Drosophila melanogaster: one gene and its partner. The protein of the gene in region 2 purifies or fractionates together with the protein of the main gene of each other region. This does not show direct contact. Each region holds a gene or a part of one and is shown on either strand. Other genes may lie near its edges. The genes, in order: lin and bowl.

Evidence for each region.
Region 1: the proteins of bowl (region 2) and lin purify together in Drosophila melanogaster (affinity purification with western blotting; 2 studies listed by BioGRID). This does not show direct contact.

What each region holds. Positions count from the first base shown.
Region 1 is NT_033778.4:8,907,907-8,923,758, reverse strand, and holds lin (lines), read right to left. Parts: upstream 9,236-15,852; 5' UTR 8,752-9,235; intron 8,695-8,751; 5' UTR 8,659-8,694; coding exon 6,082-8,658; 3' UTR 5,525-6,081; downstream 1-5,524. Other genes in the region: CG8243 (uncharacterized protein), read right to left, coding at 1-491, 644-761; Spt (spitting image), read left to right, coding at 1,110-1,190, 1,253-1,420, 1,480-1,806, 1,863-2,187, 2,252-2,974, 3,038-3,139, 3,203-3,252; CG8248 (uncharacterized protein), read left to right, coding at 3,669-4,235, 4,293-4,409; CG34219 (uncharacterized protein), read left to right, coding at 4,945-5,167, 5,227-5,423; Pgi (phosphoglucose isomerase), read left to right, coding at 10,193-10,326, 10,572-11,154, 11,503-11,742, 11,805-12,333, 12,389-12,579; CG8252 (uncharacterized protein), read left to right, coding at 13,410-14,288; CG30349 (uncharacterized protein), read right to left, coding at 12,952-13,115, 13,175-13,272, 14,348-14,497, 14,554-14,682, 14,739-15,224, 15,280-15,809. UniProt on the Drosophila melanogaster protein: Has a dual role as a segment polarity protein and as a modulator of the Abd-B protein. Required for Abd-B to activate the transcription of genes (including ems, cut and sal) that are involved in posterior spiracle morphogenesis.
Region 2 is NT_033779.5:3,769,664-3,785,515, reverse strand, and holds bowl (brother of odd with entrails limited), read right to left. Parts: upstream 13,817-15,852; 5' UTR 13,643-13,816; intron 13,597-13,642; exon of another isoform or gene 13,501-13,596; intron 13,491-13,500; exon of another isoform or gene 13,200-13,490; intron 13,056-13,199; 5' UTR 12,822-13,055; intron 6,579-12,821; exon of another isoform or gene 6,199-6,578; intron 5,824-6,198; 5' UTR 5,791-5,823; coding exon 4,937-5,790; intron 3,613-4,936; coding exon 2,232-3,612; 3' UTR 1,395-2,231; downstream 1-1,394. Other genes in the region: CG31960 (uncharacterized protein), read right to left, coding at 40-486. UniProt on the Drosophila melanogaster protein: Putative transcription factor. Required for leg joint formation, acting downstream of Notch to pattern the leg tarsal segments. Functions in the terminal pathway during embryogenesis, acting downstream of tll in the posterior of the embryo.

The DNA of each region.
Region 1 (15,852 bases), on a different chromosome or scaffold from region 2:
GGGTTTCGGCTTTGGAAGCGGCGCGGGCAGGGGGGTGTTCTTGAGCGCCGACGCAGATGACCCGGACAGGCGCTTGTCGCCGCTGCCACCGGCCACTCCAGCCAGGCCCAAAGTGGCCTGGGCCTGCGTGCTCTTCTTCTTGCGCTTCTGGCGCTCAAGCTCCTCGTCGATCTCCTTGGCCCAGTCCACTTTCGGCGGCGAGGGAGGCACCCACTCGCGGGCCAGGTACTTCTTGTGCTCGTACTTGGCCCGGATGAAATTCTCCAGCGCTGTGTCCGTCTGCGGGCGACGGAAGCCGTCCGGCAGCTGCGCCTCGTAGACGGCGCGAGCCCGCGAGTTTCCCATCTGCTGCAGCGAGATCACCTGCTCTGGCGTCCAAGTGTCCAGGTTGACGGACTTGACGCGCGATATGTGCACGCCCAGATTGCGATGGATGCCGGCGCAGCGGATGCAGAGAAACATGCCCAGGTTCCAGGAGGCCCAGCGCGGACCTAAGGATAAAAGGTAGCATTCAGTGACAGCACATAGGCTCATATCGCAGTGCAGCTGCATGTGTGGTGTGTATATCCACGCACGCACGCACACAGATGTGCGTCACCAAGAGGCGTATCTCTTGGCGGAGAAGTGGACCCCATTAACATACCCTTGGCATCGCAGTCCACGCAGTACTTGTTGTCCTCGTCGCGGAGCATCTGCGTCAGGAGGGTCTGGCACTTCTCCTGAATTAGCTTCGTGCGCTGTCCCGCATTCGAGGAGCTCATTTTGGGGTATGCTTGCGGTCTGTGAGGCCTGGTTTCGATATTTGTGGCGGGGCGCAACTGTGCGACGTGGCGTGGGCGACGGGTAGAGTTGGCGGAGCTTATCTCTGCTTCACATGGATATACAACTACCAGCGAATTGAATTGACAATTTTCTACAAGTTTTTGCTACCGAAAAAGTGATGCGTCCAGTGGGACCGTGTGGCGGTGAAGGCAGCTAGCCTCCCTGGTTGTCACTAACGCCAAGCCGTGCCATCTTGCCATTCACAGGGAACCGAAGCCACTTTTTAAAAAAGTTGTTTACTTTTACTTCTGCCCACAGAACATTTGAACTCACATTTGCCGGCAAAAATGGAAATTTTGCGAACGAAACTAGAGGCCTGCCTGCTGATACTGAACAGGAACAATGCAGCAGCTGCAAACTGGCTGAATGTAAGTGGGGGAAACGGACCACTAGCCCCAGGACATCAATCACTTGTTGCTTTGAATTTCAGGACCTGTGCGCCGTGCTATTGGAATTCGCTACTTTGGCCCACAGCTCCTTCTGCTCCCAGGGGCAGTCGGAGTGCTCGGAGCTGGTGTGCCTCTGCCTCAGCCAGATTATGATCTGCATTCGCCAAGTGGAGAACACCATGAAACTAGAATGCGGCACCACAGTCTCGGTGAGTAATTTGGATCTCATCCATGCATTGCACAATGATGTCTAATCCTCTGAAAGCAGGTAAGTCATCAGTACTTCCTGGACCGCATTCGCTGGTGCCTGAAGCGCCTCATGCATCTTTACAGCGAAGAATCGAGTTCCGAAGCAGTAGCTCCGGAGCGCTCGTTCCTTAAGCTGGTGGATGGCGCATTGGATTGTTTGGCGCAGTTCACCTCGCACAGTGAGGAAAACACCGATACCTCCAACTGTCCAAAGACTCCCAAGGAAGTCCTTCCACTCAGCCAGAAGTTGCGCGCCAACATTGATTTGATCTTGGGTCAATCTCTGGGATTCGCCAATGTGGCTTTGTCTCAGGACAAGAGGGCTCTCAGTGCCTTGTGCCAAAAGGTGGGTGTACATCTTCTGCAGTATCCCCTTATTTATTCCCCTCATTTGTGCTCTAGGTCATCCGGGAGTGCAATGCCTTTCAGGAGGAGTGCAAGGAGTCATTCAGTGCCAACTACCTGTCCACCCTTAAGCTGCGGGCCATGACCATGGAACAGGCAATTTACCAATTGGAGGACTTTATCAACGATGCGCTTTTGCGCTTGGTATTCACATGCTTCCTGGACTTCGAGAAGTTTTCGGTAGACAAAATTAGAGCGCTGTTAAGGAACAGCCCAGATAATGATGATCTGGCCGATGAGTTCATAGCGGACTTTGATGTGAACATAGATCGCGCCACCCAGATAGGCATTTTTGCCATTTCCTTTGCGCCCAACTTGAAAAGTATAATAATTATATATAATTATAAAAAAAAACGCAATTAACTCCAGTACCAATTCCTTTTCAGTGAAAACCATAATGCGCAGCTGTCTGGCCTCCTTTGAATCACTGGACACCACTCTGATACCTTCACTGCAGGCCCATGGTTCCGATTTGCACTCGGACATCCTAGAGCAGCACTTTAACGAGGAGGTGGCCAAGTTCAAGGCAGCGCTTCAGGAGATCATCGACAGCCGCGCCCTCGTTGGTTGTTGCCTGGAGATACTGACCTCAGGGATAAGTGCAACGGAAAAGCTTTTCGATAAGCAGCGATTGGAGGACTTGGTTCAAATCTCTTTGCTGCTAGTCGAGCACTTTCAGCTGGAAGTCAACCGAAAGGGTCTAAGCGAAACGCAGGACCGATTGGGGGAAGAGTACTACCAGCAGTTCATCCGGGTACTGCGCGAGTGCAAGGCTATTTTGATGTGCGCATCCCAGGTGGAGCCGCAGAGAATCCTCAAGCGCTTCAAGATCTTGCGCACGATCTTGCGCAAATTGCACGGCTCCCTGGGAGCTGGTAAACAAGAGGAGGAACTTCCTATTCCCCTGGCTCCCCTTTTAGCTGATGATACCAAGGGGGTAAATGAAGACGAAACCCATTTCACTGGCTATAAAACAGCCCGAAGCGGCAGTATCCTCTACGACACAGAGCGTAGGAATAGAGTAACTAGACGAACGGACAACAAGCTACCCACAAATACCTTGGACATTAAATCGGATAAGGCAAAACCCCATGGAAATGTTCTGAGAAGTAAGTCGGCTGATGTTTAGATAAATTTGGTAAGGTTACCAATGTTTTGAATGCTATTTTCAGGAGAAAGTTTACGGACTGTCATGTTCAAGCGGCAGAATATAGCTGAAAGCAGAAAGCTATACACCTCCATGAGTAATCAGTCTACGGATCTACAAATCACAGGTACCTAAAATGATTACATTTCCTATTTTATAAGTTTTTCCATTAAATTTCGTATATTTTTAGATATACTCGACCAACTCACTGGAATGTCCAATGGATACTTTGAATGCTGAAGCATTTCAACCATTTGTACATAACTTTTTATTTAGTTTAGTGTTTAAGTTCATACCATTTAAGAGATTTTGCAATTCAAACTTAACGTACGTCGCCACCTGAATGTCATAGGTCAGGTCAGGCATACACACAAACATGTATGTTCCTCGGGTGGCGAAGAGTATCGCATCGGAAACAGTTTAGACTGTTGTAAAAGTAGAGCAATAGGTTCCAATAAATATATAGACACATAGCACACTTGTCAGCGCATCTCCCTCGGTCGATTGACCTTTCAATTGCACTGGACACCCTCGTTCAACCCAACATGTGAAGCTGTGTGGGCAATCCCTATCGATTTTCCACCACGAGCGGCAGCCAGGACTCGCAGTCAACAGATACACACGGTAATTGCTTGGTAAACAGTAAGCACTCGGCTATGAAATCTCTGGCCGGCGATAAATTTGCTCTGTCCGAAGAGATTGGGCCACCGCCTTGTTCTCCCAAACACCGAAAAGCAAGTGCCGTGAGTAGGGACACGGATACAAATAACCATCATGTGGTGCCGCTGGGGATCCTCGTGGTGCTCTGCACTGTGTATCTCATGGTAGCCGGGATGCAGCGCAACTACAGGCACTATTTTAAGCCGGGCGTGGCTGCCTTCGACCTGCACCATGCCCAGCCGGAAGCCATGGCCGACGCCGAATTGGATGTCGCCGCTCCAGATGCATCGTGCCAGAGGTTGGACGTTTTCGGAAAGGAATCCAATCGGAATCAGGCAGTTTCAAGAAGATCCCAAGGCAGGCCCACGAAGAGAACCAAAAACGGCACTGGAAATGGGGTCAGCAAGCAACCTCGTCGTTTGATAAAGTCCCCGGAGGGGCACAAGAAGAAGGAAGTTGGCAAGAAGAGTAACACAGCGGAGCCCATTATTTACCTGTTCGCCCTTGTGTTTGTCTATCTGCTTCTGAAGGCCGCCTCGGACATCAACCAGCACTACAAGTCGGTAAGGATAACCCGCATTCCATTCCCTATTGCCACGTGAATAATCCTTCTTCGGCAGCAGAACAAAGGGGACAAGCGACTGCGCCGGTGCTCGCTGCAATCTTATGCCCAGATCCACAAGCAGGATCGCCGGTCATCAAAAGGTATTTCACCAAAATCTTTGCCAAAGTTTTAGCTCGCTGGGGGCCAGGTGCCTAGCCTATTACACCGTGTTAACGAGGGATCAAGTGAATTGTTATCCTATAAATCTAAATGTATCTACCACTATGTACTGAACTAGCCAATCTTCTCTACTCTAAAGCACCAGTTTTCTGACTTTTTCGGAAAATGTATTGTTGTGTATTGTGTATCTCTCGTCTGTCCTCAATCTCTATACATCTATACATCTGTACATCGCACTTTTCGGGCTCGATTATGCGTTTGATATCTGTGTTTTTGAACGACCTCCACTGTTTACCTCCTCTTCACCTATCTGTGAAACTGTACTGAATCCGAATATAAGGTTGTACATACTCGAATGTATATTACTGTCCTAAGTGTACGTAATCCTAAAATAAATCAATTACTATGTGCTTTCCTGTGATCAATTTACATACGTAGCCGTGTTAGCTTGCGTTTCATTTCCTCCGTTCGATTGGGCTTTTACGCAATCCTCTGCGATCCTCTCTCACCCCGAATCCCAAACTGACCGCTCTACATTTCCCCAATGCATGCCAAAAGTGGATGAGTCCCCCATCTTCCGGCGCAAGCATATAATCAGCGAGGAGCGTTCCGTATCTGTGGATCGCTTCAAGTACACGCTAAACGATGAGGGAGGCTTCACCAGGTCCGTTCCGCTGGTTCAGGAGTATCACTACAGGGTGGTATCTCCTTTGGCCAGCCGACCCAGTCAGCAGCATCCGCATAAGCCGGGATCCGGAGAAGCCCGTTTCGGTAAAGAGTCCCCACAACAAAGTGACACGTCCCATAAGACCAACTACTTTCTTCTCTAGAGCCTCGTCTTAACCGTCGCTCCTCGGTTCCGATCAGCATTAACTATCAAACGGTGCACGTATCGAGTCCACATCCTCCGGAAATGGCCAGGCGCGGCTCGGTGATAAGCCTCACTGGGCCACCACCAGAAGTCAGTGGTATGCCAAGTGGAGCCGCTGATCCAAAGCGGCGCGTCCGCATGATAAATCGCCATTGAAGTCCAGAAGTCCAGATGAGATCAGGACACAGCCCAACGAAATTGCAAAGAGACTACAGTATTTTAACACACCATTCGGAAACAGAAACCGCACACGTTGTAGTCCTTCTTAATGCGTTTCTTTTAATCAGTTAATTATGTTATATTATTCAAGTGTTTTAAAAAAACGTACAAAGAATATTCTTCTCGAAGACACCGAATTTACGCCCACTTCGGCGGGCAGCCGTTTGCCGCAGCATTTTGCCATCCTATTGTACATTATTCTACTTAGGGCAAGATTAAAAAAATCTTAGGCTAGCGTAGTGTTTAGTTTGGAATTCAGTACCTATGATATAACCATTATCTACGAACTAACTACGAACTTGTGATGCTCATTACAATTACAATGACAATTACATACAGCTGGGTATGTATCTGGGTTGAAAGACCTGCTGGGCGAAGCGGATGAAGAGGGTGCAAGATCTTAACTACGGTTGACGCGCTACTGGATCGGGGTGCGGAGTTATGGTCGGAGTGGTTGGTCCCTACGGCTAATACACGTATTCTACAAGGCCTCCATCTTCATCGAATTTTGCGCTAGTTTCTCCTATTCCATTAAATATTAAAATAAATTACGTATTTTAATTGCATGTGGTTGAAGTTCGTCCCTGCGCCGCATTCAGCTCAGCTCGTTGCCCTCGTACAGGCTCTCGCAGCTCTCGAGCAGGCGCAGCACGGGGGAAATGTCGTAGGGGTAGAGCTGGCGCGACACGAGGCGGGATATCTGCAGGCGCAGCCGGATAAGAACGCCCATCGCCTCGTCTAGCATGGCGCTGCCCATGCCGAAGGTGTGACAGCTGTGCACGAACATCGTCCAGTTCATGCGGATGTACTTGAGCAGGCGCAGCAGGTAGAGCAGGAAGCAGGTCTCGTTGCTCACCAGCAGGTCCAGCAGCAGGTCCGAGCTGTTCGATGTCATCTTGAGGAACTCCAGGAATGTGTACACCGGATTCAGCATGGCCACCAGCTCGGGGAAGGCGTTGTTGCGGAACGATATCCCAGACGTGACGTCCAGCGTGCAGACCATGGCCTCGATCAAGTGGTCGTCCTGGTCGTCGAACAGGTGGATCAGGATCTTGCTGAAGTGGCACTCCGGATGGAATTCCAGCGTCTGCTTTATGAACGTCTCCAGCTTGCTGAGTACATCGCGGATCGAGCGCTCAATGAGCATCATGTCCTGGAAGGCATCGTAGTCGGTGGAATCGATGGATGAGTCGGAGGAATCGCTGCGTATCTCCTTCACCGTCACCGCTATCGACTTCAGCACCAACAGCACCATCTTCTGCAACAGTGTCTTATCCATTTCGATAAGGTCCAGTGGCGCACCGTCCTCTTCGCTGTCCCCTGATTGCGCGGCATGTGCCAGGGTAATTGTTCCATTGGCGTACACCATCGGCTTGCCATTGTAGCCGATCAGACTGACCATGTTGTCCGGCTGTCGCCGCGGCAACGACTCCAGTATGCGGAAGCCGCGCACATGGCAGACTATCTGGTGAGCCAGCTTGCACGTCTCCTCGGGCAGCATGTCCTGCAGCGCCAGCGTGGAACCATAGCACAATGCCTCGTTGAAGAGGCACAGCATCTGCTTGTACACGGTGCAGGAGAGGCTGTGGCTGAGCAGCAGCTCAAACTTGTCCAGCTGGGCGTAGTAGGGTCGCGTCTCGTCGATGGACAGATTGGCCTTCACCGAGATGATGTTTTCCCATAGCTGCAAGAAGTTGAGCACACAGTGCTCGGCCGCATCCTGATGCGTCGGCGCCATCAACTCCGACATGTTCTTCACCAGCGTGGGCCACTTGTGCTCCAGCTTTTGAATGGTGATGCACTTCAGGTGCGTCGTATCGAAGCTTTCCGAGTCGGTTAGTGTGACCACATGGCAACCGCTGGGCATGGTCGTGGACTGGGGAGCGGGGTGCGGCTCGTAGGCGACGTTCATATCCTCGCCAAAGTGCCGCCGATGTCGGTCGCGGTTGTCAGGTGCTTCCTGCCCCGTCTCTCGTTCACCTTCCGTATCCTCGCGAAATTGCAGTGCAAAATAATTGGTGGCTAGCGGCTGCTCCTGCACGGGAAAATGCATGTAGCTCACGGACGCCTCTGTCGAAAGGGGCACTACTGACGAGGCTGCACTTGTACTATTCGCCGACGCCATCCAGTCGTCGTCCAGCGGATGGATCTCCATATCCTTCCACTCCACTATGCGCTTGATGATGTCCAGGCTGAAGTGGATCTTCTGCACGGCCGCCTGGTCAAGCTGCTCGAAGTTAAATAGCTGGTCGACGATCTTCTGCAGCCACTCGTCATTCAGCTCTTGCTTGGCAATCACCAGGAATGCGGCTAGCACACGTCCCGCCAGAAATTGCACGTAAGAGTTCTCGTAGCCGGCCAGCACGATAATCTCGTCGATAAGCTTGTGGTCATTGCGAATGAGTGCGTCGCAAACGTCCATTATCCGCGTGCAGATGAAGCCCTTTGCGTTCTGCTTCAGGTAGATATCGAACAGTAGCTGCAGATTCGACAGAAACTGCAGCAGCTTGTTGGTGGGCCACTCCCGCAGGTAGGCTATCCGTTTCTGGCCGTTGGTGTCCTGTGAGTAATGCGACTGGAAGGGCTTGCGCAGCGTTCGCTCCGAGACGCCGCACAGGCACTGGCGGGTCAGGGACTGCTCGAACTCCAGCATATCGTCGATGGACGTGGCTGTTGTTGCTTGCAAGCAATTGCTCCTGCTGCTAGCATGACTGCCATTGCCGTTGGTCGTGTCGAGGGTTAGCAGGTTGGGCAATTTGGCCGCCCTGTCCACTTCGTCATGGGCGGATTCAGGCTGGCTGTGCAGGTCTGTGTCCCCGTTTTGTGGCAAGATGTTGTGCAGCAGCTGGGCGTACGACGCCGCCCGGGAACTACAGGGCGTGGTGGTGGGGGAGTTGTTGGCGGTGCTTGGCGTTGACAGCGAGTGCGAAGAGGACGAGGAGAGCGAGGAGCACAGGTGGCTGTTGCTGTTGGCGTCCAGGTCCAGTATATCCGGCGGATGGGGCGGCTGGGGTGGCAGCGCCTTGGAGCCCACCTTGATTTGCTGCTCGATCTTCTGGCGCTTGGTCTGCGGCTGTTCGTTTGATGCGGAGGTCGTGGAGGTTGCTACCGTGGAGCATGGGCACACATCGCCCGTTCCGGCTCCAGATCCTGCTGCGGATGAGGTGTCCATCCTCCGCGCTGACGTACCCGACGTCCTGCAAATGGTCTGCAAGCGAAATGCCCGGTGAGCAGCGAATCTAAGCGGCGGCTCGCAGCCACATACCTACAAACCCGATTCCGACAAACAGCTTCCGTGCTACGCGCACACAAGGTTACGTGTGCAGACGCTGCTGCCTGGCTTCGTGGGGCGATTCTCTCGGCTTCCTGAGACACACTATGATTTCTTGGGGGCGACGAGGGCGCTCTAGCTGCCGCCAGGTGCTCTGACTGCTCCTCCAAACATTTTAAACGGCCACAATTCGATTTTCACACACTTGTTGCACTCTTCGGGCCAGCGACATGTCAATGTTTATGTGAGTTTCACTGCACTCGCGTTTCGCTTCGTGCCCGGGCCAGTCGATTGGGTCGTGTGCTGTTTCTCACTTTTTAAGCGCCTCCGATTGTTTCTCTGGCACTGCTTTTATTTTGGTTTTATTACACTTTATTATGTGGGAAAAAACAAAAATTAAGTGCGCGTCGCCATCTTTTAGCGAGTTTCAGCTACCTGGTAACCCTACTTGCGCAGCGTTGCCAAACGGATCTTGGTATTTGGCGTTAGCTATATACATAGCCAGGCTCGCAACCATAGCTCTGTCGTCACAACTCAATTCACATATATTTTACTTTCCGAAATGTATTATTTTTTAAAAATAATTATTGCACGCTTATAACTTTAGCAACAATGTTTGCTAAAGTAATTCTAATAACAATGACTCCGGTAGTTTTAATTTTCTAATGCGTGATAATAATTAAGTGCTTGAGAATTATAAGATTGCAGAGAACTTAACAAAAAATATTTTGTGAGAAGCTAATTACAGATAACAAATATTTTTCAATTTATATGTGCTAATTTAACGGGTAACTTTAAAGTAATTTTAAGAATGTTTTTATTTTTACATTTTTGACATTAAATAATAGAAATGCTATTCGATAGTCATTGACACCTGACAGCCCTGAACACCGAGCGTGCTGCCACATCGAGATAAAATTATGCCGTTAGCGGCGGTTAAGTCGTTTTGAAAATTTCAGTTTATGTCCTTTTGCCTACCGGTGCAGACGATCTAGGAGTAGGAAGTTCTCAGTTCATCTCCACGCGGCCACACACAGTAAATTCGCACACACTGCAAACCGATCGGCACATTAAAACAAGAGCGCGGCCGACGTGGCAACACTCGCTTGTTTTTCATTTGACATTGAAAGGTGCTCGCGAATTCCAGAAAGGACGTTGGAAAATCGGCAGCCGCTCAGTCAGTACCTATCAAAAGCAAACACGGCGAAGTTGTGGTGCGGTGCTCTGGAGATTTGCCGGAGCCAGATAATAGGAACTACCCGACGCCTAAGCAGCCGGATCCGCTATTATAAGTGAAGTGTCGCGAGCGGTCGAAGCAGTTCGCCTGTGCTCTCTTCTCCGTGTGCTACTAATTTGCATCGAGTGCTAAATAGTCCTCCCTTGCCCTTCTACTCCGCATCCGCCTGCTGTTCCTGCTTGGGATAACTGAAGTAAGATGGCCGGCCCACTTCCTCCGCTCAACCAGGAGGCAGCGTTCCAGAAGCTGCAGGAGTACTACGACTCCAAGGGCAAGGACCTGAACATCAAGGACCTGTTCGTGAAGGATTCCAAGAGATTCTCAAAATACAGGTGGGTTTTTGTGTCGATTTCGCCTCAGAGGGTGGAAGTTACGTATCTAGTTCCCGCATACATACACTCATTCGTGTATCCCCCATCGGCAATCGTTTATTCATCGAGTTGCGCTTTGCCCACTTTCACTTTCACCATCGGCTGTCGAGTGTCGCCGCCACTCGATTTGTCCTTGCGTAAGGTCACAGCAACGACCTCCGAATCGTACTTGCTCTGAGGTCAAATGTTTTTCGTTTGTTTATCAGCCTGCGCCTGCACACCCAGAACGATGGCGAGATACTGCTGGACTACTCGAAGAACCGTATCAATGACGAGGTCTGGGATCTGCTCCTCACCCTGGCCAAGGTGCGCCGCGTTAACGCCGCGCGGGACGCCATGTTCTCCGGCCAGCACATTAACATCACGGAGAACCGCGCCGTCCTCCACACGGCCCTGCGCAACCGCGGCACGGATCCCGTCCTGGTGGACGACAAGGACGTGATGCCCGATGTGCGCGCCGAACTGGCCCACATGAAGGAGTTCACCAACATGGTCATCTCCGGCGTGTGGCGCGGCTGCACCGGCAAACAGATCACCGACGTGGTCAACATCGGCATCGGTGGCTCCGATCTGGGCCCGCTGATGGTCACCGAAGCGCTGAAGCCCTACGGCAAGGGCCTTCACTCCCACTTTGTGTCGAACATCGATGGCACTCATCTGGCCGAGGTCCTCAAGAAGGTCAACTACGAGACCACCCTCTTCATTGTCGCCTCAAAAACTTTCACCACCCAGGAGACCATTACGAACGCCACCTCCGCCAAGACCTGGCTCCTGGAGCATTCCAAGGAGGTAAGTACAGCGAAAGGTCGAACATTAAATGACCTTCATTGATAGCGCTTTAAGCAAAGATAACCAAACTAATACAATGAACCATCAATGGACCCTAGTGATTTTTCTTATCATTCTATAAGAACCATTTTGACGTGTTCAAGCTATCAAATCAATTTAATGTGCTTATCAAATGCAGCCTATGGACTTAATCAAAGGCTAAATCGGATTTCAAATTCGAATTAAATGTTTCCAATATGAAATTCCACTTGCCTTAAATGTAAAATAGATAACGCAGCCAAAGCAAATAGTTACATCACAACATTTTAGTCTGGCCTATATTTGCAAACTATTTTTGTTTTGTTTTAGCCTGAGTCCGTGGCCAAGCATTTTGTGGCCCTGTCGACCAACAAGGAAAAGGTCACCGAATTCGGCATTGACAGCACCAACATGTTCGGTTTTTGGGATTGGGTGGGCGGTCGCTACTCCCTGTGGTCGGCCATTGGACTGTCAATCTGTCTGTCCATTGGCTTTGAGAACTTTGAGCAACTGCTGGATGGAGCTCACTTCATGGACAACCATTTCAAGACGACACCATTCGAGAAGAATGTAAGACTCAACTGAGAGTTAAGTAAAATGATTATAGTTAACCATTTTATTGGCTTTCCTAGGCTCCTGTTATCCTGGCGTTGCTAGGCGTTTGGTACTCCAACTTCTTCAAGGCGGAAACACATGCCCTCCTTCCCTACGATCAGTACTTGCACCGGTTCGCCGCCTACTTCCAGCAGGGCGATATGGAGAGCAACGGCAAGTTCGTCAGCAAGTCGGGCAAACCCGTCAAGTACAGCACTGGTCCGATCGTGTGGGGCGAGCCTGGCACCAATGGCCAGCACGCCTTCTACCAGCTCATCCACCAGGGCACCCGCCTGATCCCCTGCGATTTCATCGCTCCCGCCCAGACACACAATCCCATTGCCGGCGGCAAGCACCACAAGATTCTGCTATCGAATTTCCTTGCCCAGACGGAGGCTTTAATGGCCGGAAAGACGGTCGACGAGGCCAGGACCGAGCTGTCCAAGGCTGGCCTGTGCGGCAACGAGCTGGATAACTTGTTGCCCCACAAGGTGTTCGTCGGCAACCGGCCCACAAACTCGATTGTGGTGAAGAAGGTTTCACCTTTCACCCTAGGCGCGTTGATTGGTACGTCTCACTGTTTCAGCTCACGAGCACCTATTAATGTCAATTGATTTTGCAGCGCTGTACGAGCACAAGATCTTCGTTCAGGGCATCATTTGGGACATCAACTCGTTCGACCAATGGGGTGTGGAGCTGGGCAAGCAGCTGGCCAAGGCCATCGAGCCGGAGCTGGATCACTGCAACGAGGTCTCCACGCACGACAGTTCCACGAACGGTCTAATTAACTTCATCAAAGCCAATTGGAAGTAATCATGTCTGGCTATTTGTTGCGAATTAAAAAGAAATGTTTACACAAATGCTCTAATTGTTAGTAGTTTCTGAGCCGTTATTCAGTAGCCGCCGCTTATGTATACTCGAGCTACAAGCCCCCTGTTATTGGCACATTATTCAACTGTATTTATGAACTGGATATGTTTGTTTGCTTGCGTATCGATGAAATCTCGTGTCGGAATTAGACCAACAATTGGCTCTCACTATTCGTTGTTGCACGTAGTTTAAAACCGTAAATAAAAATTTATGAATTCGATGTAAAAGACTGTGTTTGGAAAAAAATGCTAATTTATTTTCTCGCGGCGCAACAACAAGGGAATTGCATTTAAGCTTAAATTACGGGTAGACTGTCTAATCCATGGATACGTCAGAGTCTGTGTCTGCGTCGGCGTTACCATCGTCGGTCGCCAGGTCGTCGTCGGCCACCAGCTCGTCTTCCAATGGGCTCTTCGGACTGCCTGGCTGATCCTCCTCCAGATCGCTCCAGTTCGTTTCTGCTTCGGGATCGGGCTCATCTGCAAGCAAGCGAATTAAGACTCGAGCCTTGTGCGAATAAAACCACTTGATAACTTACCTGGATCTTCGTCCAGGATCAGGGCTTTGTTATCGTTGAGATGATTGTCCGCGTTGCGTTTCATCTGGTTAATTATCAGGTTGACTCGCCCGGTTATTCTAAAAATAAAGAAGGCATTGAAAAGGTGTTATAACAATATTGCCAATATAACAATAATAGGAGTACACGCATTACTAAATTTTGTCGTGGCCAGATTTCGAAAATGGATCTTTTGTGCAATGATGGCGCTAGCTGTATGGACTACTTCTCCAGCCCCCACAACAAGAAACCCCCGAGTCCAGGCAGTGGCGTGCCAGCATTGGGACCAGGCGGTGCCCTACCCATTGCCATAATACCCAGCATATCCAGCTTAGTCAACCAGTGCAACAAGCCGGCCTGCGATGACGCTGATATGCAGTGCATCATCGACCTGATCGAAGGCACACTCTGCGAAGCGGTGGCCATTATTGAGTCAGACCCGCGTGGTCTTTTTATCTACAACTTTCCGAAAAAGCAAAAGATGTCCTCCATCAGCCTGATCTCTTCAGTGTTCACCGACACCATTGTGGCCAACGGAGAGGATGATCCCTCGATCACGAATCATTACACGGGTGGCCTTGGCATTTCGGCGGACTCCGTATCCAGTGGCTTGGCGCGCAAGATGCTGACCATCGGGGACTTTGAATACTCCAATGCCATTGCCGACATTAGGGATTTTGTCAGTCGCTGGGAACTTTCGCCGGACACGAAGTGTGTGGTGATCAGCAATCCGATTCGACACGAGGTGGCCAAAAAGGGAACCATTCTCTTTGTGGATGCCCATTTCTCTCGGCCAACACCCCGTTGTCCGAATCCTCTGGCCGTCGCCAAGGTGCGTTTCATCATTTCCTTGTCGAAGATTCTATTGAAGCATTATCCCGTGATGATCACCTACCGCTTCGAGGGTTACAACACGCTCTACTACGGCCTGGGCGAACGATGCCTCAACTCGTTCACTTTTCAGCGATTCTACATCGACACCATTCTGCACACCAAGCTGACCTTCTTCGCTGCGATCTCGGAGTGTCGCCACGGCACCATTGAAAAGCCCAAGAATAATATCAAGCCGAAAAATTCAAAGAAATCGGGATCTTGAACTTGATTTCCCTATTAAAACCTTTGTTTTGTGTCTTTCAATTCCCCAATTTTACTTACTGCAAAGCTTCCGATAGACAGTGCATGCGCTGCTCCGCCACGCCGAGGCAAACGGCTAGTTTTTCGCGCAAAGCCTCCTTGTCCTCGGACATCAAGACACTAGTGTGGGTGGAGGTCAGTGCGTGCAGCCAACGCAGGGCGGAGCGGACACTGTAAAAGAACGTATTTAGAAAAAGACTCAATAGGGCTCTACGGAAAACACTCACCTCGCGTGCTTTCCTTGCAGCAGGATGGAAAGTTCGTTGACCAGGGGATTGACATAATCGAGCGGTAGCCGATCCAAGGTCAACTGTATCGTCTCTGGATCCTGAGTGCTCAGAACGGCTTGTATCATCCTTAAAAAACGAACTTCTATTAAAACATCTATTGCCATTGTTCGAAAATCCCTTACGCCTGATCCTTGCTGTGTAATGCCTGCATTAGCAGCTGCGTTTTGCTCTGCGTCAACAACTTGCCGCCACTCAGTTTGGTTCCTTGAATTTTAAGATGTTCTAGTCGGGCTTCCATGGGCACTTCGTTTTGCACTTTCTTCTGCGAGATGGGCAGGGCGCTGTTGTACTCCACATTTTTTTGGTTTACAATGGGCTTCTGGACCTTGGTGGCGGCCTGGTAGCCCGGCTGCTCCTTTCCCTTCTTTTTCGCATAGAGCTTTTTGGGATCGGCGCGCACAATAACGTTTAGTTTCTCGCCATAGTTGGGCGTAAAACGTTCAAACTGCAGCTGTTGGCGACTTCCGTAGCCAAAGAGGATTTCGTGGGAGCGATTTGAGTCTGTCACAAAGTGGGCCGCCACGGCTAGAAGTGGTTCCACTGTTTCGGCGCCATCGGAAACGATCTGCAGCGAAACCTTGGGCTTCACAAACTTCTCTGCGGATAAACTGTGAAACATAGTACTTCAGTACGAGTGACAAAACGTGTATTCACATGACCCACCTGTTCACATTCAACAGGTAAATGTGTATGATGCCATTGCGGGTAACACTGGCCACACGTAGCTGACCATCGTCGCGCACTTCGCTGGTTAGACAGTAGGCCAAGTCCTCCATGAGGAGCGTGCAGGCGGAGGCTTTGTTCTTGCCCTTCTTGTCGATCTTCCAGAAGCAGATTACGCGCTCCATCTTCGCGGTGGTCAAAACGAATTCAGTGCCATCTGTGCTCGCCACGCTGCTGATTGTGTTTATTTCGCCCGAGTGGCCGGTGAACGTTTCCACCAGCTCCTTTGTCTTGATATCGTACACCTTCAGCTGTCGGTAGCCAATGGCCAAGGTGCCACTTTTCTGAAGGTAGACTATATTTTGGGGCTTCTCGGGTCCCACTTGCCATTCGGCGATGGAGCGCTCGTCCGTCAAGGACCAAACAACAACCCTACAATCGGCACCCACAGTGTATAGGTGGCCAGCGTTGTCATTTGTAATTGAGGTCACTGGTCCATCATGGCTGTCGCCACTGAGCGTTCGAGAAATCTGCAAGGATTGCTTGTGGTTTATTCGCCTTCAAGGCTCTTTG
Region 2 (15,852 bases):
TGCACTATGATTGTAATTTAGAAAGCGTGTGCGTGTAGATTAACGCGTGGTCATCATGTTGGTGAACTCCTCGAAATTGATGTGATTATCCTGATCTAAATCGTACTCGCGTATCATCTCCTCCAGCTCGTCGTCTTCCAATTTTTCACCAAGTGCCATAAAGACAGCCCTCAGCTCGGTAGTGGAGATGTACCCATTGTTTTCCTTATCAAAAACGCGAAACGCATCGCGCAGCTCCTCCTCCTTATTTGTGTCGTGCATCTTGCGCAGAATCACATTGCAAAACTCCTCCTTTGCAATGGATCCGTTTCCATCAGAGTCCACCTCGTTTATCATGGACTGAACCTCCGATTCATTGGGCTGTCGACCTAATGCTCGGATTACCATTCCCAATTCCTTCGAGGTGATGGCACCTTCGTTATCCTTATCCAATAAGCTATAGATATTCTTGAGCAGGTCCTGCTCTTCAACAGACAATTCATCCATTATGCTTTATATTATGGGAAGGAGAATATTATTATTATGCTAGTAGATATACTTTTTCGATAGGATTGATACTCAGTTGAGGTCTGATAAGCTTTGAAGGAGTTCTACGATTGAAAATTGTTATTCAAAACATTCAATATAAATATTTTTGAAAAAAGCCAACTAAGAGTTAGCCTTCGGTCTTTAACAGATATTAAACAATCTGCGTGCTCCATGAAGTTCATAAACTTTTACTGAAGATAAAGGCATTAAAAGAGCATTCTCACGCACAGTTTGGCAAACAAATCACGTGCTTTCCTGGACCCAAATGATATCATCTGGCGGAGAAACTCTTTGGCTTTACGCGTATTATTTTATAGTTGAACCAGAAATTGATGTCATCGGTGGCGGTAAAAAATGGGCGCCCAATCCGCCCAATGAGGAAATTCCAGGAAGCCGGGCAACTCCAACTGTCGGTGATGACAATTTGCGTGGCATTTTAATTGAACTTTCTACGTGTTCGAGTGGTGTACTTTGATTTGATCCCCATCCACCGATTTTTCGTCGATTTGAGTCAATGTTAAAGGCGTTGCCACAAACCGCAAACTGTCGTGTCTAGGAGGTTGGGGAGGGGCTTGGTGGCTGGGGCCTCGAAACGTGCCTGAAGTATTATTACCGCCGTCTGTGATTGATGGCCTCATGCGAGTGAGTCAGTGGATTTTTATAACTCTACGCAGATCCCTTCCTTTCAATCAAGCGGCAAAAAATCTGGACATCGATCTCGCCGATATTAGCTAACTTCATTTCAACTTAACTGCCCGGAGTGCTTTGAATAAAGTGGATTTGAGGCGATGCCTTGGGATTCTTGGCCAGATTAAGTCGATTTTTTTTTTTTACTTCAATGAAAAAAATGGCACGCAATTGTTTTTCATTATTAATGCATACTTTATTTGAAATCAACTAACTCGCTATGGTTTGAATAAAATCATTTAAAATTGAAGGAAGACCATGGAATTCTATGGGTTGCTTATATTAACTACTGCAAAACTCTTAAAATTTAAGCCTAATTACATAAGGTTCTACTGGAATGTTGCTTGTAGTTGGATTTTTGTTTATGCTCTGCTTTACACTAACTTTTACTTTCAACCATTTTTTTCCCTACAGCAAAATCGATTAACGATTTTGTTTACTCATTAAGATTAGCTTACCGGATAAGGAAACATAAATAAAAAATTGGAATTCACTCAGCAAACAGCAACACTTAGTGTTGGGCCACACATTAAAAACTAATCGATAGACTCTCGTACTAAAGGCTTAAACATTTAAATCGGTAGATTTAAGCTAAAATCCTAACGCATAAGAGCTCTATAAAATGCAACAACGGAGTTTGTTTCGCTTACAATTATCGCTTAACTGATTTTATTACTTAGTTTAGGTCTATTGCCTTGCCTAGACATTGTACTAAAAAGTATTAAATTGTAGATCTAAATTTATTTTAATGTACTTGTGGGTCTAAAACGATAAATCCTCGTTTAACCATTGGGAACAATAACTGTTTGTCATTATGATATTCAACTGTTCATAAGACCTTCTAAATGAAATACCAGAAAAAACAACCGAGATATATATTTATTAGGAATACTACTACTTTTTGATATTTCAAATTCGTAAGAGCTTTGATAAATAGTTTTCCAAATTGTGTTGTTTTTCTATTCCGATTTTACCTCCATTAATGGATTGTTTTCTAGTTCTTTCTCGGTTTACTTCTAACGCCTCATTATGTCCTCAATGCTGAACCCTGTTCTTCTCGGTGGTGCAGGCGGTGGTGCTATGGGCGGTGCTGCCACTGGTGGTCCCTTTTCGGTGGTGGCTCCACTTGTTTCCGTACTCGGTGGTTTTCCCAGAAGCTGTCTGGGGGGATGTCGCGACATATTCAAAGCATATATGCTGGGACTATCCACAAAGGTCCTTTGACCCAATCCAGGATGGTGGTGCGGATCCATCAAGTCCAAGGTCGGTGCCGGAAGAATCCTCTTTCGCATGGGTATCGATCCCAGGAAGCTGGGCATAGCTTCATGCGGTGAATGCAAAGGTTGATTGGGTGGTTTACCCGACTCCGGCTGGGTTATTATAGTGGGTGGTGTATGTGGTGGCGGTGGAACACCAGCCTTCGAAAGGTTCAAGCTCTTGTGGTGCAAGTCGCGTCGAACGTGCAGAATGGGCAAATAGGGATCCCCGTTGGGTGGGAGTAAGTGTGGATGTCCTGGGTGCTGGTGGGTTGGCGGAGGAGCTCCAGGTGGTGCAGGCGGCGGTCCAGCTGCCCCAGGTGGTACAGAATATCGCACAAAGGAAGGTGGAACGGGTAGGCTGGCAATGCCAGAGTTCCCGGGTTCCTCCTGATGTTTCTCGCCATGTGGCCGCATTGTGTAGGTTTCACCACCCTCATGATGACAGTGGGTGACTCCCTGGCGTTCCGGCTTGGTGCCCACTGACGACGATGATTGCGATGTGGCGGCAGCCTTACTCGCCTGGAAACGCGCCACTAGTGCCACTTCTGCCTGCTCCTCGTCCTCGGGATCAAAGTCGTCGTCCTCTTCCCTGGGCAAATCGTGTACTCTTGGCAGATCCTGCAGTTCCTCTTCCTCGTCGAAGTCATCGAACTCCTCTTCGCTTTCCTCATGATCGATGGCTGCCTTGCGCTTGAGTCTCATTCTTTCGGACTCAGATTTCTCACCCGATCCTCCAGACTCGCCCAAATTGTGAACTGGCGACTGGCGAGGCGAGTCCACTTCCAGCAACGAATCCTCCTCGTCGCCACTTAAATTTCTGGCCTCATCCTCTTCGCCCACATCCACATAGTCCCCGGAGTTGACCTCACCCACTGCATGGGTCAAGGCATGGCGTCGTAGATCGCAGTTACGGCGGAAAACTTTGCCGCATGAAGAGCACTCGTAGGGCTTGTGATCCGTGTGGGTGAGCAGATGGGTCTTCAGGTTGGAGCGCTGATTGAATGATCGACTGCAGACGGGGCACTTGTGGGGTGATTCCTCCATGTGCAGGATCTTGTGGACAGCCAAGGTTCTCGATTGGCAGAATCCCTTGCCGCATTCCGTGCATTTGAAGGGTTTCTCCTTGGAGTGAATATACCTGGGCGAATACAAGTGGAGAAACAATTAGACTTTATTGTTATAGCGTGGGCGTTTTCCTGGTAGCTGCAATTGGTAGCCCAGGTTGACAGTTATCTCTGCTCAAATGCAGCCTTAACTTGAACCGATAAAGCTCACTGATATACAGCTTTACAATACTCTAACTAAGGATATAACTGGCTAGAGCAGACAATAGAATAAATAATATAATACTATAGCATATAATACCTATCTTTCTCTTTCAAAATGAAACCTAACCTGGATTTGTTTTAACCTTAAACCCAATTCTTTAAAGTTTTTCATTAAAGAAATCCTATGATTTTGTATCCTCTTAACTGATAGGGTATTTAACTTTCGTGTATGCGATCTGGCTGCATTAATTTTTTATGTTTATGGCGGCCATCTTGGCAATGGCGTCCACTTGCTGTTGGATAGCAGCAGCCACAGTTAAAAGTTAAAGTCCCCATCTTCGACGGAGCCACAGATTCAGCATCGCATCGGAGGCAGCAGCTGCTGGTGGAAAAAAAAAAATAAATGTATAAAAACCCAAAACAGGTTCTGCCTCCGAAGCACCGAGATTCTTCTCCCATGCTCCGTGCGTTTCTGGTAAAAAAAAAATACAAAAAACTTAAGAAGAATTAGCCCCGCGGCAAAGCAAACAAACGACAAATGGACCGATACCGAACGATCAAAAGACAGAACGCTCGGACAGGCCGACACATTGAAGCCGGGATGCTGGACCTGCTGCCTGGCATCGGCATGGGCATCGGCACCGGGATACACAGACCCGATATATAGCCCCCAACCCCTTGGCCATCCCTCAATTTTAATGCTGGTGGAGGAGCCCCAAAGGAAAACCAACAGAGTTAATTAACTTTGTGTTGTACTCTGCGGCCGAGTTGAAGTTTTACTGGCCGTCAGAGGAGCTCTGATTTTGGGTCCGCTTTATGGGGACTTACTTATTTGAGTTGAGGTAGGAAAATTCGTCGTAAAGTTTAAACATTTCCTGGAAAATTCCTTATGGTAAAAGGGGTCTTTTGAAGCGATTGTCTGATATATCTAAAATCAATAAAACTCCATCTACGAGTAGTGGTCGCCTTTCCCTTTTGGCCGAGATTACTGTCACACCTGTTCAGAATGTGTGTATAAACTGCCTAGTAAGCAATAAATTACATTGATCTAATTATCCTTTGCCTTTACAGGGTATTCCATTATTCGCCATTCGTTCACACTTTGAGCACAAAGAATAACTCCAGGCCTGATGGCAATTACCCGAGCAGACACTGCCCCCTTTTGTGATTACTTGTACCCCAACCTCGACTCACCTGTGATCCCTCAGGTGATCCTGTCGCCGGAACGCCTTGCCGCAGATATCACAGGAATAGGGCCGCTCGTCCGTGTGTGTCCTCTCGTGGATGAGCAGATTGTACGACTTGGTGAATTGTCGATTGCAGAACTTGCAGATGAACTGTTTTTTAGGCCGCGATGCCCGACCAGGAGCACGTAGCAGGCGCCTATCGAGTCCGGCATGCATTCCAGGACCCAGGCCAGGTGGAAATAGAGCTGCGGCGGCGGCTCCTGGTGGAAATGGAAAACTTCCGGCTCCCGTGGGCGATGGACCCGGTCCGGTGAGATATGGCGGAGGTGGCACGCCAGCTGGTCCGTACAACACTCCAGGCGGTGGCACACCAGGACCGCCGGGTCCTCCAGGACCTCGTCCTAACATTGCCGCCGCCGCAGCCGCCTCCCTTAGGGCCAACTCCTTTCGCTTGTCCGCCATCATGGCAATGATTTCGTAATTGGAATTACTACCCGGGCGCACCTTTCCGGTGGGCAGAACCGGCACAAAGGCAGAGATCTCGCGATGATGCGATGGTGGTGGCGGTGGCGGCGGACCATGCAGTCCGGCCAAATGCTGCTGATAGGCCAGCTGTGTTTCATACGCTGAGATCCGGCTGGCCGATGAGTTGCGCGAATCGCCGTTGCCATTCTGGGAGCCACCATCCGATCCTCCGGATCCGCCGTTCCTATCCGCCGCACCAGGAAGACCGCCACCACCCACCGCCGCCGCTGCCGCCGCCATCGAGTTCATGAACTGATCCATCCGGGAAGGTCGCAGCATGGGTATCGCACCGCCTCCTCCGCCGGAGATCTCGCTGGATGAGCTTTCCGTGGGCATTATATTGGAGGGGCTCTTCACATTCCGTTGGAACTGCCGGAGATAGGGATAGAACAGAAAAAGCCGAAAATAAAATAAGGGTAGTGGTAAATAACAATTAGTACACGATTGTGCTGGGTTAATTGGGCTCTCGTTTTTTTTTCGAGGCTTATCTTAATTGCGAACCGAGTGCAATAAACAGATATTTCCACGTTGTATTCTTTATTGCTCCTAGGGTAGTACTGGGTATGATAAAAACTGACGCAAACTGGTTTAAAATAGATATATTACTATTAACTTAGTTTCTTCTTGGTGGGAAGTTTCCTTGTAATTGAAATATTCATGATCTTGGTTTGGCAAGGCACAGGAATATATACAATATATACTATAGAATATTTACTCTTTTTATCTCAACCGGTTGTAACTCACTTTTTAGATGTGAAATTCTTCAAATTTGCTTTTTGCACTTCTTATCACAAAATTAAACAGCTTTATGGGCAATTAACTTGCAAATAGCCAAGGATTATCACATTAGCTGATCTTTCAGAATTTATCCACGTGAACGTGATTTAGTAGTCACAAAAAAAAAAATAATGAAGAAAATATTTTTCTCGAAAATAACCCATACGATTCTGAGAACGTTTTGGTATCACAGTACGTATATTTTCACAGGGTAACTAAGCAGTTTATCACATTATGGCCCTCGTCTATGGGTTTGTTGCTGTGTTTTTTCCATAGGAATTTTATTATTATTGTTGGTTTATTATTATCAGCGGCGGACTGCCGACGACGGCGAGTGAAACTAAACTGAAAACGAGTCGCAGTTTGGCACCGCGATCGGTTGCTTCCAGTGCGCAGGTTAGATAAGATTGTGCGTCTAAAAAAACCTGCCTCCGAACCTCTGAGACTGAGTAAGCAGCACAGTAGTAACGATATAAACACACACACACACACACAGTTATATTATATATGTGCCTGTGATATATGGCATATCGGCAGATACCCCGGCACACTCAGATACAGATACAAAGATACAGATACAGAGGCAGGCAGCCAAGTTGCCGTCGGTTTTGGTAAATGACTCGAACCGAACTCGACCGACTGCTTACTGGATTTACGCAACAGGAGCCTCGACTTCTGAGTGCCTCGAAAGAAGAAGGGGCAGAGGCAGGGGCAGGGGCAGGGGATCGGGTCCCGGAACGTGATCATCACGATAATAACAAAATAATGCACATAATAATGATCACAATGATGGCCGGACCATAAAGTTTGTGGCCCCATATTGCAAACGCTTCTGGCTGCCATCTTCCCAACGCCTTGCACAGCAAAAAAAATGGCACCAATTTTGTACCCAATTCTATGGAATTCTATTTTAAGATCTATCTTTTACGATAAGATTATATTTGTTATAATATTAAAAGAATTTATAGTAATATGCTTTAAAATTTGTGGCTCGCAAAGAGTGCGCCCCAGAGAGCAAAGTTTCCTCAGTAAGTCAACCTTTTTTTTCGGTGTACTATCCTCATTTAAATGTACAACCAGTTGAAAAAAAAAATGCTTTAAAAATAACCCAGCTGTCGGTGCAATGACAGTTTTGCTTATCATTTTGCTAGAATCGTTCTCGCTGTCTCGGTTGATTTTAATGCAAAATGCTGCAACGTCATTAAGACCAACATTAACATTCGGCTAACAACAAGTGAAGTGATCGTCATAGTTGGTTAAAAATGAGCTTAGCCAAGTTTTTTGGAGAGGCGCCCATTGTTGAAGTTACCGTTCTTTCCGTACGGATGACTAGTCATTGTGGTGGTCTCTTATCTATGGAAATTATTTTGGCATTGTCTGGCTGGAGAGTGCGCTGTCAGATTAGCTCTATAAAGTAGCTGAAATCATGACTTGATCATGAGTGTATCATTGTTATGGGGGAATGACTCTACGGACCACGTATAGTTCAAGTGGATGAGATATAAGCAGGTCCCAATTATTAATTCAAATAGCTGTTAGATGTGGGTAGGTCTTATCGTGCTATCATATCAGCGAGTCTTTAGTAGACAACGGAGCACGCAGTTAAGATATTAGGCAAATAGATGATCTAATTGTAATATTTACACTAGAAATGCTTACGAAAGCCATATCGAAGCGTTTTTGTTTCCCTAATACGACTAGCACATGCCAAACTAATCTCCACGTTTATTAGATAGTAATTGGATAATTCTTTCAGTTCAATACCTTTTAACTCTCACCCATGCGAGTTCTCGTGCCCTCACTGATAATCTGTCGCAGTCTATCTATATTCGATTCAATAAAGAACTTATCTGATCTAATAAGTCCCCCAACTTAGGGAACCTTTGCTGTAGATGAGCGATGGCCCCGCCATGCCTCATTCGATTACGATCCCGATAATCCCATTCCAATTTGGGCTCACGTATTTCTGGTAGCCTCGAAAAAAAAAAAAAACTGAAGTGTAACCCGTTTTGGGTATTTATATATATTTTTTTCGATTTCAGTACTTTTTCTAGGGATTGTTTCCACACTTTTGCATTTACGACCGCTTTGGACCCACGTTTCACCCCATACCCTGTGCACATACAATGTACAATTCAGCGTTCATTATCTTTTTTGAAACATCGGCACTTTTGAAAACGTCAAGCCAAATAAGAAAAACAAATAAAATTCATGTAAATAATGGACATCATCAGCAAAAGCGACGGCACGTAGACTGCCGTAGAAATATTGAGAGAGAGTTGTGCGCACAGATACAGATACAGATGCGGAGATACAAAGATACTCGTACTCAAAGATCCACAGATACGTTTGCGCAAACGGTTGCCCAGTAAATGAAGCCAAAGGCTTAAAGTTTCCAATATGTGTGCGTCTGAAGGTGCACTGGAAAAATTATTGTGCACTCTTGTGAATTATTTAATATTAAAAAAAAGAGTATATCAAATAATTCTGAATATATAGGGAAATGAACAAAAAATAATTAGTACGTACTTTTTTATGTAATATTGAAATGTGCATATTTAATTAGAGAGGTAATATTAATATCTTTTCTTTCTCTGTATCGTACATATAATAAAAAGAGCCAGAAGACCAACTACTGCTGGGAGGAAAATAAAAGATATCGAGGAGCAATTTGGCTGCCACTTTTTTCCCTCCTCTTCTTTTTGAGCCGTCTTGCTTCTTTTCCTTGGATTTCTGGGTCCGGGATCGGTTCGTTTGCTGGGTTTTTGTGTGTAAACAACTGAGGCCAGCAGAAACCCAGGGCCCAGCAGAGTGAAAAGGTTTTAGTTGATAAAAAAAAAAAACAGAAAAATATACAAACACACACAGACACACACTGAGCAAACGGATTTAGTATTTGTATAGAAAACGCAGAGAGCTGAGGAGGCGAGTTTGTCCCTCTGATGATGGCCTACGATGGCTGGAAATGTCCATGCGTCTTACTGCCCAGTGATTATGTATTGAAAGGGGTATATCAGGATTTCCCGACCAAGCCATTATATAACCTTTAATATCTTAGAAGGATCTGTGTATTTACAGAAAACAGAATGTTGCTCAATGACAAGAAAAAAATAATTTTGAATTAAATTATCATTTAACGTTATATGAATCAGTAAGATCAATCCCATGTTACCTACTAACCGGAGCTCAACTATTTTAAAGGTTCTTAGCAATGGTTTTTGAAATAGGGACCGTTAGCTAGAAATACCTACCACAATTTTAAGGCCGAGGTACACCCGCGGTCTATCAGTAAACCTTTTATTTCGGACCTTATCTTCTGGGCCGAGTGCTTACCGGGCCCCCATATGCACTTCAGTTTGCTTACAAAACACCGGCCAACAACAACAAACAAGCCAGAAGATGACGACGAAGAAAAGTGGAGTGGTGGGAGGAGTTCCCCGGAGGAGGAGAATGGGTATGGGTATGGGTATGGGTATTACGGGTGAAGGAATGGAAAAAGGGTCGCCGAGATCCGCTGTGCAGTGCGGAATGCTCTTGGCCAGGCTGTGTGTTTTAATCCCTTCGGGATACTTTTTCTTCCACCGAGTGTGCATATGTTTGTGTGAAGGTAGCTAATAATCAAGACAGCGATGGAGAGGAGGAAAAACCGACGCAGACTTATAATTATAGTCGAAGAGGAGAACCAAAGAGACCTGCACTTCACATGCGTTAATCTGAAAACCCTTTCGGGCCCAAGCAGCATCTGAGATTATAGTCAAAGCTATTAAAAATCTAGCATAATCATTGCCCTCGGTGGAAAGCAAGTTGCGTTGTTGTTTTTCTCTTTTTTTTTTTTTTTTGCTCCCGAGGTAGGCAGGCGATCTTCCTGCGCAGCCTTGTCTATAATTTTCTTGATTAATATCCATGAGATTTACACATTTGGAGTGCTGGCCAGAACCCTGCACCTCAACCCTCCGCCACCCCCCGCGTTCCTGTGTGTGCTGGCCATTAATTTAAAAAGCTTTGCTAATTTCGCGGGGAAATCTGGAAACGAACAACTGCTAATGAAGTTTTATGGGTTCGGGAATGCAGCTGCAGCAGGATTGATAATGTCGTTAGCATAAATTGAAAATGCTTTCAAGTTACGACCAAAGATTTGTTATGATTAAAGTATGGAGCACGCGGAGTGAGCAAGAATATCCACCAATGGATTTTTATTAAATGATAAATGGCGAGCTGCAGATAACCAGATTCCTCTGGTTGCTGAAATAAATATTTTTTTTTGAATTGAAACCTTCTTAGGATTAACTGAAGTTCAGACAGTTAGTTCCTAAAATTGAATTATTTCGGCTTAACTTTGACTCTTTCTAATCCCTCTTGAAGTAATCCACTTTGAATGCTAAGCCGATCTTCGTATAAATTCTATTGTCATATTGTGCTGCTCCTTTCATTCGAACTAAATCCATTCAAAAATTTCACCCTTGAATAGAACTCTTAAGATCTTTTGTTGGTCGGATTGCTACTTTTTCAGGCAATCTATTGTGTTATAATTTCAATGGGTCAATTCTTATTTATTGGAAGAGTTTATGCTAATAAGTGTAGAAGCACTAAGACTATGATTTATTAATTCAAATGCAATTGGATTATGCTAATTGCACACAAATCTTGGTACAAATTATTTATATATTTTTTTCTTCGACAACTTTTGGAACCCAGCCCAAAACTAAACATGTAAACTGATAATCACCTTTCCGCTGTCTGATTTCATTGATAGCATTAAAAATTCATATTCCCTAGACAACATCTAATTTCCCCATCAAAATTGATGAGTTCCCGTTCCAGAACAACAATAAATGAACTGGTCTATCAGGTGAATTATACACACGTGCCAAAACGAGGCGTGTCCATATAGCCATTTCAATTTAAAACCCGAATATGGCGATCCCTAACGAGCCATTGTTCTGCGGTTTTATGGTAAATCTAAATTCATCAAGTATTTTGTCACGATTTTAATTAATTTCGATTTCAATTTTCCTGCCACAAGGCAATTACCAGCAACATTTTCCCCTGCTGCTGGTGCAACCGAAAAATGATAGTTGGTGGCCCAAGATGGAGAGGAAAACCCACCCAAAGAGGTAAAGCGTAATAAACTTTTATGGTACTCCCTTTCTTATGCTAAAACTCTTTTTGGACACAAAACCAAATGGCCCATAAAGCAAGACAATGAATATCCAAAATAGATCTCCACTGAGGCGAAACAAAAGCCAATAACTTTATAGAACCGCAACCAAAAAATACAAAAAAAAAATAATAATAACTCAGACTGTGAGAGCGCGGGAGGCGTTCTACAAAAAAAAAGCTTAAAAATGAAGGAAAAAGTAAAGCATTTAAAAGAAATCAAGAGATGTAGATGACGATGATGATGATGGTCTGAGGTTGAGGCTGAATCCGAATCCGAATCGGTATCTGAACCCAACAGAAGCTTGCGGCAATTGCGTTTCCTCTTTGGCCACACGTTCTGGACAATTAAAGCCCCAGCCGAGCTCCGAATCTGAATCGAGCCAAGTTAAGACAGCGACCACGACCGAAAACCGAAAACAGAAAACCAAAAAAACCGGATTCCAAGCCGAGAAGGAGCGAAAAAGACGGCGAGAGCGACCACTGGCCACTGGCACTGGCTACAAGTGAACTGGTTTACAAAGAAAAGAAACAGAAATGAAAGAAACATGTGAAAAATCACGATCTATAAAGCCGATGCACTTAATACCCTAGGCAAAATAAGTAAATAATACTATAGATCAAACTAGAGTAGACTTGTTGAAAAAAAAACACTGGAATAAATAAGAAGCTTATAAACTATCAGCTTATTAAACTAAGTTTGCCTAAATTTCGTAAAATATATTTTTAAAACCTAACGCGATGCTTTGAAATTCTGTAAAATTAAAGTTTTTCAGAAATGTAACGTTATTAACACCGATTAATATTTTTAAATAATATTTTACAAATTGTGTACACCATTTTCAAACGAAGTACCCTTACCAAGAGCACCCATAAGAGACCCCCAGAATTCCAAGCGAAGGTTTTTCGAGTCCGGCTCGAACCGACCAACTCGAACTGAGCGCCACAGCAACAACAATGGGGCAAGCGGGTGGTTCAGGATGGTGGGGAAGTTTGCGGGGGGATGGGGGACGTACTCCACCGTGGACTGTGCGGCACCACACTGAGTTCAGTGGCAATGACAGTGGCACATGCAGTTGTAGTGGAAGCCGCTTGTCGGTCGACAGTCCGCCAACCGCCAACGTTGTTGCGCTCTCTTTCCTGTTTTTTCGCCCCGTCTCATTCTATTTGTGGAGCAGGTTTTGAGATATATCTTGGGTCTTTCTCTCTCTCTCCTTCTCTGTCTGCGTACTCGTTATATTTTTGTACTCGCTGCCTTTTTGGCCAACGCAAAAAATACCAAAATAAAAAAATAATAAACGTAATTAGCTAGCCCTACGCCACAAACAGAAAACAAAAAAAAAAACAACAAAAAATAAAACAAGTAAAAATAAGTGGTGTGGAATTTTTGTGTTCATCTGGGAAGGCAGGGCCTGTTCTCGGCGGAATCTTACCTGTGGGTTAAACAGAAGAAAGCCCCAGGCTCTTTGGGCTTTATCTTTGCGTCCTAAAGTATCCAAGTAGTTGTTTCAATATGATTTTGCTGGTTTTTTGTCAGTTTGTAAGCTTTGAAATGCTTGGCATTGTTTTTGGTTTTTAAAGTAGTAATTTATATCATTTAAGTGGCACTTGAATTGTATGTTGTTTTTTCTTGTTGTATTTGTTTGAAGACTTCTGTTAATACGATTCTGTGAATTTAAAAGTAAATAATTTTATTAAAATTTTCAAAATATTTGTCGGAAATTTTTTGTTATATTTTCAGGTTTGATTTTAATTTTAACAAGTATTTCACCGAATCATTCTCAAGTAAATGTATTTAAAAAAACACGCACACTAAGGGACAATTTTGAGATTCAAATCACGGCACGATCGCCCCAGGGGGTGGGGCTGAGGGGGCGGCAGGGGGGCGGTTACGGGAGCAGCAGCAGCATCAACGGCAGTCAGCTACCACAAACCACGTAGTTTTTTTCCTTCCAAAATCCACGTACAACTCGCGCACAAACACACGATGTATTTGTATCTCACAGATATGAAAACCGAACGAAGAAAAACCCGAACCGAAACCTCAACCTCAACGAACTGAAAACCGAACGAGAACGAGAGATACACGGCAGCTGAAATGTGTTTTTCTACATTTTGTTTGAAATAGGAGCTGAAGCCAGTGCAGCTACCAATTCGCTCCTCAAGTAGTCCCAAACTCTTCCCACACACAGAGTCAGTTGCAGTTGAAAAGCGCTTTTCTCGAGGCAACTGGCGATGCAACAAGTTCACTCACACACACACACACACTAGCGCTCTGGGCCCGCTCAATAAGATACATCGGCGGCGAAAGATACAGATAGATATAGAGCGAGAGGCACTCACAATGCAGTTCACTTTTCCAACAGCTATTACCAGCGATCCGCGCGCAGGTGCGTTGGCCACGATCAACTCTCGAAGACTGAGCCACGAACCCAAGAAACAGGGCCCGAATGGAAAAAGAGAGAATCGAGAGAATCGCGGGCTGAGAAATGCGTAGAAAGAGACAAGCGACGAGTAGCGAGCAGTGGCACTAAAACCAGCTTAGTGCACTGTGGAAAAAGTTTTAACAATTCTTAAATATCTGAAGAGTAAGGCTCTAATTTTCTGTAAATAACAACAGTATAAATCTATCTGCTTAAATATACTAGATAAATAATGGATGCATTTACATATTTTTCTGAATTAACTAGTAACTTATATTCAGTTTGAATATAGTACGACATTTCTTTCAGTGGAGGAGAGGAATTAAACCGAACTCAACCCAAACCCAACCGGCCGCCAGTCGCACGCTGCTAAATGGACGGATGGGCCCGTGGACGGACTTATATGGAGACTGGCACTGGCGGAGCGTGGAACGTGCATTCGTACGACGAGTTATTGTCAGTTAGAGCGCTACCTGTTTACCGACCGACTACCGACTACCACCGACTGCTTTTTTTTTTTTGGCCCAGTCGAGAGGGTAGGGTACAATTGGCCCGGGTGTTGCCAGATTGCCGTTGCTGCTGCTGCCCATGGATCGTTATGGTGGCTTCACCCGAAAAGGAGGAGGAGGGTGTAACTCTGGTAGTTCCCTGTTTATTGTTATGCCTTTTTAGTGGGGGTGTATTTTGTTCTTCGGCTTTTGTTGCGGTTTCATTTAGGGGAATGACTAATCAGAAAGCATTTTTAGGGAGGCAAGGTGATAAGGTTTCTTCGAAGAAGGGGTTGCCAAGTCGAAAGTTGGGGTGAAATAAAGTGCATTACTCACACGACTATATATCTATATTATGACAAGTTCCAATGTTCTACTGATAAGTAAATATTTATTTGGAATAATTAGTTGGTAGCTTTAGGGAAAAATATTTATACATATGTATTTAAATATACACTGATGATTAATCGGCAGCCGAGTTATACAATTCATTTATGGAAATAGGTCGTAAAACAATATAAGTCTAGAAACCATCTTATCGCCAGACTGACTTTTATTAATGGTAATTAGTCCTTATAAAAGAAGGCGAGCACGGGAACTTGGAAAAAAATAAAACATAGGTAAATGATTGATTCGAGCTAGGCTATGTAAATAGGTCTTATATTATTATAATAGACTGTAAAATTTCTATTCTAACAATCTGGCAACCTCTGCTCGCAATGCAGCATCAATGCGGTCAAGTGGTAAAAGAAAAGACGTTAACAAAAAGACCAAAAATCAGCTAGGGTCCCAAAAGTAGAGGGAGTTACGTTTCGGCCACGACGGTGATCATGGTCGTAATGATTCCGAGATGCAGAAAAGAAAAACCCGAAAAGTACCCAACAAAAGAGAGTCCGTAGCCATGTAATTAAGGTGCTGCACAGTGGAACTAAATTGTGGCTGCTGCCACTGCAAAAACAGTAAGTGGAAATGGAGATACAAAGCGGCAACAGGCAGAAGACCAGAAATAAGTGGTAGAAAAGAGAAGACGGAAAAACGGTAGCTGCCTCATAGGGCGAGCGAATTGTTATGCTAGTCGTCGTCGACTTCCCCCATCAACAACTGTTGCTCTTGCTGCACTCGGAAAATAATTTTCAGCATATATAAATAACAATAAGTAAATAAGAAATAAAATAAATAATTACCATAATTGGTCTCCCTTATAATTGGATTCCACAATACATAAAATTGAAATTGACTATTGTTTAATAATAATATCTAATATCTAACCCTTACCTTGCTCTTTTTGCTTAAAATAAAGATGTACAAATAAGATATATATGCTAATGCGAACCATAAGATCGTTGTGATTTTTCTGAGTGCCCGTCGGTTGAAGTGGCTTCCCTCCTTGCATATTTTGCATCGCTTTACGATTTTAAAATAAATTACTTGAAATTTGTGTAAAACATGTGGCCAACTCGGAGTTCAGCTGGTAGTTTGTAGCTAGAGGGCCAAAAGCAACAGGTTCATTGATCGCATTCGAAATGCTTCGTTGGCCCCAGCAGGTAGCTGGT